Nothobranchius furzeri: one gene and its partner. The protein of the gene in region 1 purifies or fractionates together with the protein of each later gene. This does not show direct contact. Links are inferred from orthologs where the notes say so. Each region holds a gene or a part of one and is shown in the gene's direction. Other genes may lie near its edges.

Region 1 (3,818 bases):
GCCTGCACAGTGTGAGAGAAGGAAGGGAGGGGCAAAGCGACGCTCCGTTCAGGGTCGCTACAGGGTCCACGGTAGCAGCGACAGCCAGCTGGTTTGATCCGCTCTGAAAGGCGTTGATCAGAATTTGCAGGTCACATTTTTTTAAACGGAGATTGGGCGCGTGCTGCCATCATGTGTCGTTCAATACAGCGTTCGTGCGGAAACTCACCTAGGAACTTTTATCTGCTGCACTTAAATCACGCAAACAAAAATAAATTATCTAATGGAAAAAATAATCTGAAATGGTTCAACACTCCCCCATGAACCATTACATCCCTATCTACGAGTGACCTGATGGTTTATTTACTACCAGTATCTTTGGTGAAGTTCAACGGTGGGCTTTTCTTCATGGATGTAATCTCGTTTTTCCTCTTTTTACTTTAGTCGCGGATGAAGTCTCGAGGGATTTGGTGATCGTTTGAGTCTAGTGAAGAGGATGGCAGAGACGTTGCTCCACATGGATTGATGCTCTGCACAAAATTGTTCCGCGGCGCTGATGCCCCCCCCCCCCCCCCCCCCCCCGGGTGTCAACCTGGCGTAAAATATCTAAACTATGCAACTTAAAAAAAAAAGATGTATATGTAATATTTGTTATATTTTTGTCCTAAAGACCCAAATCCAGCTTTAAATAAGGTTCAATAAAACATTAAGCACTTAATTTCTAAGATGTCTTTCATGAGACGAGGGATAATTTGCTTCAATTAATATGGAAAACCATCCAAAATTACAGCCCTTTTAGCCAATTATGAACTCCTGAGCTGCTAAACTGCGGTATCCTAGTAGTTCTGGTGTTGAGATGGACTTCATCAGTGTAATGTTCTTTTTCTTTTGGACCCTTTGCTGTTATTCTTGAAGTTAAAAATACACTTTCTTCCCTGCAGGGCTCGGTGTACCAGAAAACCAACGCCATGTCTGAAATCAGAAAGACCAACAAGGACAACTTCTGGGCACAGGCGGAGGTATGCTAACTCTGCGCCGGTGTATCCATTATACACATACGTGCATTAACACATTCTTCTAAACTTACTGATCGTGTATTTTAGTGCAAATTTCTTGGATGCTGACCTTTTTTGTGCTTTTAGAAAGAAGAGGAGAGACGGCGGCAGGAGGAGCGACGCAAGGCTGACGAGGAGCGCCAGAAGCTGGAGAGGGAGAGGAAAGACAGGGAGAGCAAGGAGGCTGCTGTGAGGGAGAAACGGGACAAGGAGCGAGCTTCTCAGATCGACCAACAGAAGTGAGCTGCAGCTGAGGGAAAAGATGGGTCTGTGAAAACAGCCGTTGGACCAATCATGCTGCTTCTCTTGTGTTTTACAGGAAGTACCAACAACAGCTGGAAGCTGAAAGTAAAGAGCAGGAAAAACAACGCTGGGTGAGTGCTTCGTTAAGATTACACTTGCAGTAAGAGACTTCCTGCTGATGGAGACATGAAGGAGCAGATGCACTCTGGTGATCGCTAAAAATGTTTTGATCGTGCATACGTCTTGTGAGCACTTAAGTGAGGTTGGCAAACATCAGCAGTGCCAACATTCATTTCAACATCACCAGGATGAGGGGCAGGAGAACCAGGAGGTCCAGAGAAAAGCAGTTAGGAGAGGTGAATCTGTGGAGAAAGCTAATGTGAGTTCCCCAAACCTCCCTCTCCTGCATAACCCTGTCCTCCTGTTTCTTGTTTCCGGATGAACACTTCTCCTCTCAATTCTGATCTCCTCCAAGCTTGTTGGCGCTCGCCTGATTTCCTGTTTCCATTTTTCATGCCTTGTCCAAGTGATCCTAATCTCCTATCCTCTGTTCATTTCTCTTCTATAGGAGGCTGCCTCTCTGATCTCTCAGCGTTCTGTGAACCCCAGAGAGATGTTCAAGCAGAGGGAGCGAGGAATAACACCCAGCGACTCGGACACACCCCCTGCTGCCCCTGCGAGCCCTCAGCCAGGTATGGTCCAAGCGTAAACCTCATTGCTTAGCTAACAGCAGCTGATCTTGCATAACTGCAAACCTTTCTAAGCCTCACCCTCGTCATGGTTGCGTACCTACAAACCAGGGCGACTCGTCTCCTAATGCCGCCCCTCCATGTAGTTGTCTCATAATCATACTGAATCGGTCGTAGTCTAGTCTGTTCCTCTCTGCTCAGTCTGGCTGCTCTTTGTCGTCTCTCTCATCCATCTGTCTGCATGCTTGGCGGGGTCGGGTGTTTGTCTGCTCAGGGCGTCTTCACAGCCCATTTCTGTCTAAGCAAGTGAACCAATGTGAGCAAGCCAGCTCACCTCAGCGCCAAGCTTCTCCTCCTCCTGTGTCAGCAGGCTCTGCCTCTCCTGGCCATGCCACAGGTGTGAGCTTAACACACACACACACACACACACACACACACACACACACACACACACACACAGTAGCATAGCAGTTTGTGGTACCAAAAGGAGAATTAGAGGATTAGCCAAACATCTGACCAAATAGATTTTGGGTTAGTTTGAAGGATTTAGCTGTGGCTTATGACTTATTTTGTACTAATTACACTTGATCTCATACTTGGAAAAAACAAGATTGTTATAAAAACGTAAATACCTGTTATTAATATTACCTTTTAGTTATTTATTTCTTGCTGCTATGAAGGCTAACAAATGCTAATAATGATTAGTTATACGTCAATAGGAAACTATGAGCAGCTGCTGTGATGCACAGTCTGGTTTTTACTGAGCGTAAAAGATGTCCGACTCACACGTAAAAGCTCCCTGTCCTGCATCTGTGCTGTCTCTGCTCTACTCATCATTAGTCAAGCTTCCATCAACTTTTTGAATTTTTTTTTTATCTTTGAGTAAAATTCCATTGTGCCTGAGTCTGGTGGTGGTGCTCAGCCTGTGTGGACTTGTGCTACATGCATGTCTGTGCTTGTCTTTTGGGTAATAAGAGCCTGATGTGGACGGTGGGCACTCCAAGTGTGAGTATGATGAGCAGGAAGCCCCTCCCCAAGAGCAGCAGAAAGGTGGGGGTCATTTCACACACATCAGCTTCAGTGCGACTGCATCAAACACCCAGCCCTCCCATCTGCTTTCATGTGATAGAAAAACATGTTTGGGTTTATTTTAGGAGCCTTTTGTTTTCAATTCAAATTCAAAGATACTTTATTAATCCCAGAGGGAAATTAGAGTTTCAGTACACACAATTCTGAGATCAGACATTCATACATAGGCATAGACACATGACAAGAATTGGTGACTGTGGTCATTCGCAACCCGAGTCACGCTACCTTAACAGAGATCAGAGGGTTACATGAGGATTGGCTCAGGTGGATGAAAAAAAAGGCACTTCAGAGTTACCCTCCACAGGGAGGGCAGCTTTGCTATGAAAAAAACACCTCAGACAGAAATACAACAGTCTTCAGACATTACACAACATAAGTGTCCACTAGGTGGGGAGGTAGGGTTGGGGACTATCCTCACATCAGTGCATGCAGCCGCGATTAGCAGCGCTCGTCACCTCCGTTTGGACAGGGGAAGGAGGTATTTGGGTTAGAGAGCACAGTGACTCCTGGAGTCGATTCAACGGCCTTCACCGGTCGTAGTCCCGCTCAGACTGGGATAGGGAGACTGAGTTACCATGGCGACGGCAGCATTCCACATTTCTTCTGAGGGGGAATAATCTCTTCAGCCGCACAGGCTCAAGGGCACCAGATTCAGATAAAAACTTGTTTTGGGCCAGACAGAGATAATTTCCTCTCTGTCTTAAAGTTCTGTTGATCTCCAACCCCTCTGAATCCAATAATGGTGTAAATTAATCTATCCCAA
Region 2 (4,540 bases), on another chromosome or scaffold:
TTTGGATGGTAAAAAGTACAGGGGTCAAAACTTGACTTTGAAAAAGTGTGTGTGTGTGTGTGTGGGGGGGGGGGCATGTCCCCCCTGTCCCCCCCAAAATTACGTCCATGAATTAGAGAAAATGGACCAAAAAGTAAAATGCAAAGATAAGGAGCGTAGGAATAGAGGAGTAAAATGACCTTAAAGAAGTATGAAATACTCAACAGGAGTTGTAAAAATTACAATAAGGAAACAATTAGCCGCTGATTTAAAAAAGATCATAAGTCACCCACCAAACTAATACAGATGAAGCAAGATATGCAGACTTCTGATGTAAAATCAAATCACTAAACAAATGATTACATCAGCCATTGAAAATTAACATCAAACACAAAATATGTGTCAAATTTTAGAGAATAATGAGAAACCTCCAACATAAAAACATGCAACGACACAAAATTCTGAAAAGTGGAAATCATGTTAGAAAAAATGTAGGAGAAAAACAAACCAAATCCCATAAACTGAGTATATACATAAATAAAATAGCTGAATTTCAAAGAGTTCAGTGATGAAACTGTTTACATCACACAGAGTTTGAGACATAAATCAAACTGCTTCCAGCCTCAGTCATAATGTCTACACACACGCCTCATAGTAATTATGCGTTCATCTTAAATGTGTCATTAAAAAGTCTTAAAATGACGCATAAATAATTTCTCATTAACATGTAATATTGTTTAAATTCAACATCTCTTCCAATTGCAGCTGTAATAAAATATCCAGAAAAGATTCTCAGTGTTTGTTTGACCTTGGCACAAACAGGTTTCAGGTTCTGAATAAAAAAATGTCTCTCCCTAAAATGGTTATTAGTGAATATTAATTAATATGGTGGTGGTGGTGGTAAAATGAAGGGTAAATTCTGTTCAATGAGGTTTGGCAGAGATGATGAAGTAGCCCCCCCTAGTGGATCATTACAAGTAGTGTTTAATTTCTTTCATCACCTCCTTGGTTCCAAGGTAAACTGTATAAATCCGTTTGGTTTGGGTAAAACCTTAAATCAACATATATTTAAATAATATAGTGCATTAAAAACGAAGTGTGGCTTCCATTGAACATAAAAAGCAAGATATATGGCTAATTATATTAAAAGCACAGCCCAAAATAAAACACATTTGATGAATTTCATAAAAGTTTAAATAGTTCAGCCCAAATTTCATAAATTAGCATCTATTAGCCAGATTTTGACAAATAGTTATTAAACCTTGTCGTGTCCTTGGCCTTTTAGAACGACGGTGTGATTCTGTTTTCAGATTTAATCTATTTACTTGTAAAAAATAATAGGTTACGTTTTCTATTCGTTTTACTGTGCATTAATTAGTATTATTGATGCACTAAATAAGAGAGTGTTTAGGATCTACATCATGCTGATGAGGAAATGCACAACTCAGTGAGTCTATGAGGAAGCATAGACTGAACAGAGTGGGGTCTGGATCGACACTTGGGGGACACTTCATGCAGTACTTTATATTAGTGAGAATTAACATTTACTGCGGAAAATTTGCTTACATCTTTTAAAAATGTTCTAAATCAATTAAAAAGGGAATCAGACAAACCAACAATTTATATTTTGTACAACTTTGTTTCTGTAGGCTTCAAAATTATCGGAAAAGAATGAAAGACTCTTAACCAGGGCGAAGACGCAGATACACGTGAATACATAATAATTTAAATAGTTCATTTTCAAGTTAAAGTTACCATCCTACTTTTCCTCAAAAGAGTTTTTGTAGCGTTTTTACACGGTTGCCATGGTTTTCGGGATACTACCGTGAAGGCTGAAAGTGAAGCTAAACTGTCGTAAATTCGCAGCGTCGTGAATCCTTGCCGCCCACTGAAGATGGCGGCGGAGCTGCATCCGCGGAGCGGAAAGCTGGTCGGCCTGTCCAACTCGAACCGAACCGCCCGGCGCAACCAGCCAGTCCAGGAGTTCAACCACGGCCTGGTGCTCAGCAAAGAGCCGCTCAGGGACCGGGATGTTTTCACCGTCCGGATTGACAAGAAGGTAAACAAGCACGGGCCCGCCTGCTGCTGAGCGGTGTTGGAGCGGCGACGAGCCGGGGGGTCTGTCTGACTCTGCCCGCGGCGAGGGGCTTCTGCCACCCGGGGGCAGGTCCGCAGAGCTTGACAGCGACCGCAGCCTTCAGTCGCGACCTCTGGGAGGGGGGATTTTATCTGAGCCGTTACAGGGACATGGTGACTTGATGAACACCTCCCGGATAGTAGATAGGATAAACGAACGAGTTGGTTAGCAGCAACCCGCCCGTCTTGCTCCGGTACTGGTTAGCCGTGCTAAACACCGGTTAGCTGCTGGTTGGACTGGACTTTCTGGAAGGTACCACAGGAGGTTTCTGTCGTGTTTGTGGAGAAAACGCTGCTTTCGTTCATGTAAGGCGGCCGAGCGGTTAAATACGGGACAGGTGAGCTTTGTTTATAAGCTTCTAGCAGGGATGGTGCTGCGGCGTCCAGAGGAACAGAAATCACTGTTCTGAGTTTATCTGGAGCTGGTTCTCCCCTTCAGCGCTGCAACACGCTGCCTGGTTACCTTAATCCCCTTAGAATAATCCCGACTTTCTCTAATTGGTCAGACTCTTAAAGTTACTGTGTTTTAACCTTAAATGTAAGCAAGTCATTGATTATAAACTAACATCTTAAGGCATCATCTCATGTCTCTGCTGTGGTTTTCTCACAGCAGCTTTCCATAGTGGGCCATGACGTGCTGCTCCTTCATCTTCAGCACTAATGTGGGGATTTCTGGTCTGGCCTTGAGCTGGTTAAGATCACATCTTCATGACAGGATCATATGTGTGAGGATGCTGGATGGTGTTTCTCCTGCCTTCTCACATCTGCCTTGAGGGGGTCCCACAGGGTTTGATATTTGGACCCTTGTTGTTTTCTATCTATATTCTCCCACTGGGTGACATCCTGTAAAAGTATGGAATTGGTTTCTAAATTTATGCTGACGACTGCCAACTATATTTACCTTTAGATGACGCTGGAGACCACCCCATTAGAAATCCCAAGGGTTGTTTTGCTGGAGTCGAGGCATGTTTGGCATGGTGGAGAACTTCCTGTTTCTCGATGAAAATAAAATAGGTTTTTTTGGGCCTAATGGTTCCCTAACGTGGTGAATTATATTTCTACATGAGTGTCAATCTTGGCTTGAAGATTGACACTGCTTTCTGCTTTGATGCTCACATCAGTTCCATCTTCTTCCTTTTATCATTTGAGACACTTGGCTAATGTAAAGCCATTGCTGACTAGAGACTGTTGTTCATGCCTTCACTACGCCATTCCTAGACTACTGTAACTCTGCCTTATTTGGTAGCTGTAACTCACCTCCAGCTTGTTCAGAGTGCTGCAGCAAGATTCTTGAAGAGCAAGTGAAAATATTATGTAGAACATGAAATAAAGGATGACCTGGAGGACGGCAAAAAATTTATTTATTTAAAATAATTTCACAAATGAAACGATAAAAGATGCAGGTTTCTCATAAACAGAAGATGCAAACATGTAAAGACATTTTGCATGGATCCTCTGGACCGGATTTTCTTCTTTAGGAATGCTCTGTTGGCTTTCCAGTCATCAGTATGACTAAAGTTTCTCAGCAGCATCAACATTTTTATTACGTTTCTCATAAAAGCTTCTCTGTATCTGCAGAATTGATCAAAGATTTCTTCTGTTCTGAACTTGTGCCAACTGGGCCACACATCCTACACACTTTTTAAAAGGCCGTTCTGGGGTCTACAGGCCAGCAGTTGTTAGTGTCAGTAAGCTCAACATTTGGCTTAATAGGTACCAACTGCTTGTAAATGATCACGCACCCCGCTTTGTCTGATCAGAGCTCTCATAATGAAGCTCACGCTATCATGACCTGGAAATCAATATTTTTCCATCACAAAGCGCCCCCTGGCATGCCTGCTAATTCATCTGCTGTGCTGCAGGGGAAGTGGGGGTAAACTCGAGATGAATGAAGTGAATTATTAGTGAGTGGACTCTGAGTGGTTTAGGGCTTGTCCTGGAAGTGCACAAGTTTTTAAAAAAAGTGCAATCACAACAAGCACAGTTGATTATTGCAGTGGTGATATTAGCTGTGATCTCCTCGTAAACATCTAAAACCACACAAAGTGTAGAGAACAGCTTTAAGGTCAGAGGTCATGAGCCTCACACCCTTAGAAAAGTCATTTCTCTGCCTTGGAATCAAGACTTTGAGGCAGCTCAATTTTCTGCCTGATGGAATAAAGTAAGTGGGGAAGTCACTATATTGTTAACCAACAGTTCATCAGTGAAGTTGTCATTGCAGGTATTCATTTTTAGAATCATTTGTGTTTGGGGAAAATATGTTAAAGCAACACTGAATAAGTCCCGTCCCCCCGTCCCCTTACTGGTGGAAAGTGTAATTACAACTGTCATAAACAACCCTGCTAACACTAACATGAGCCAACTAATACTAAAATAAACCAAAAAGTACAAAGATCTGCACTGTTGGATAAAAAAATATTATTAC

What was found.
Region 2: the proteins of dbnlb (region 1) and neurl4 purify together in Homo sapiens (co-immunoprecipitation; 4 studies listed by BioGRID and IntAct, counting the BioPlex papers as one, with this or other methods). This does not show direct contact. The link is inferred for Nothobranchius furzeri from reciprocal best matches to the Homo sapiens genes DBNL and NEURL4.

Annotation. Positions count from the first base shown.
Region 1 is NC_091757.1:38,248,791-38,252,608, forward strand, and holds part of dbnlb (drebrin-like b), read left to right. Parts: intron 1-920; coding exon 921-998; intron 999-1,121; coding exon 1,122-1,273; intron 1,274-1,353; coding exon 1,354-1,408; intron 1,409-1,584; coding exon 1,585-1,656; intron 1,657-1,845; coding exon 1,846-1,969; intron 1,970-2,240; coding exon 2,241-2,363; intron 2,364-2,941; coding exon 2,942-3,016; intron 3,017-3,818. UniProt on the Homo sapiens protein: Adapter protein that binds F-actin and DNM1, and thereby plays a role in receptor-mediated endocytosis.
Region 2 is NC_091742.1:53,430,786-53,435,325, forward strand, and holds the start of neurl4 (neuralized-like protein 4), read left to right. Parts: upstream 1-1,700; 5' UTR 1,701-1,873; coding exon 1,874-2,038; intron 2,039-4,540. UniProt on the Homo sapiens protein: Promotes CCP110 ubiquitination and proteasome-dependent degradation. By counteracting accumulation of CP110, maintains normal centriolar homeostasis and preventing formation of ectopic microtubular organizing centers.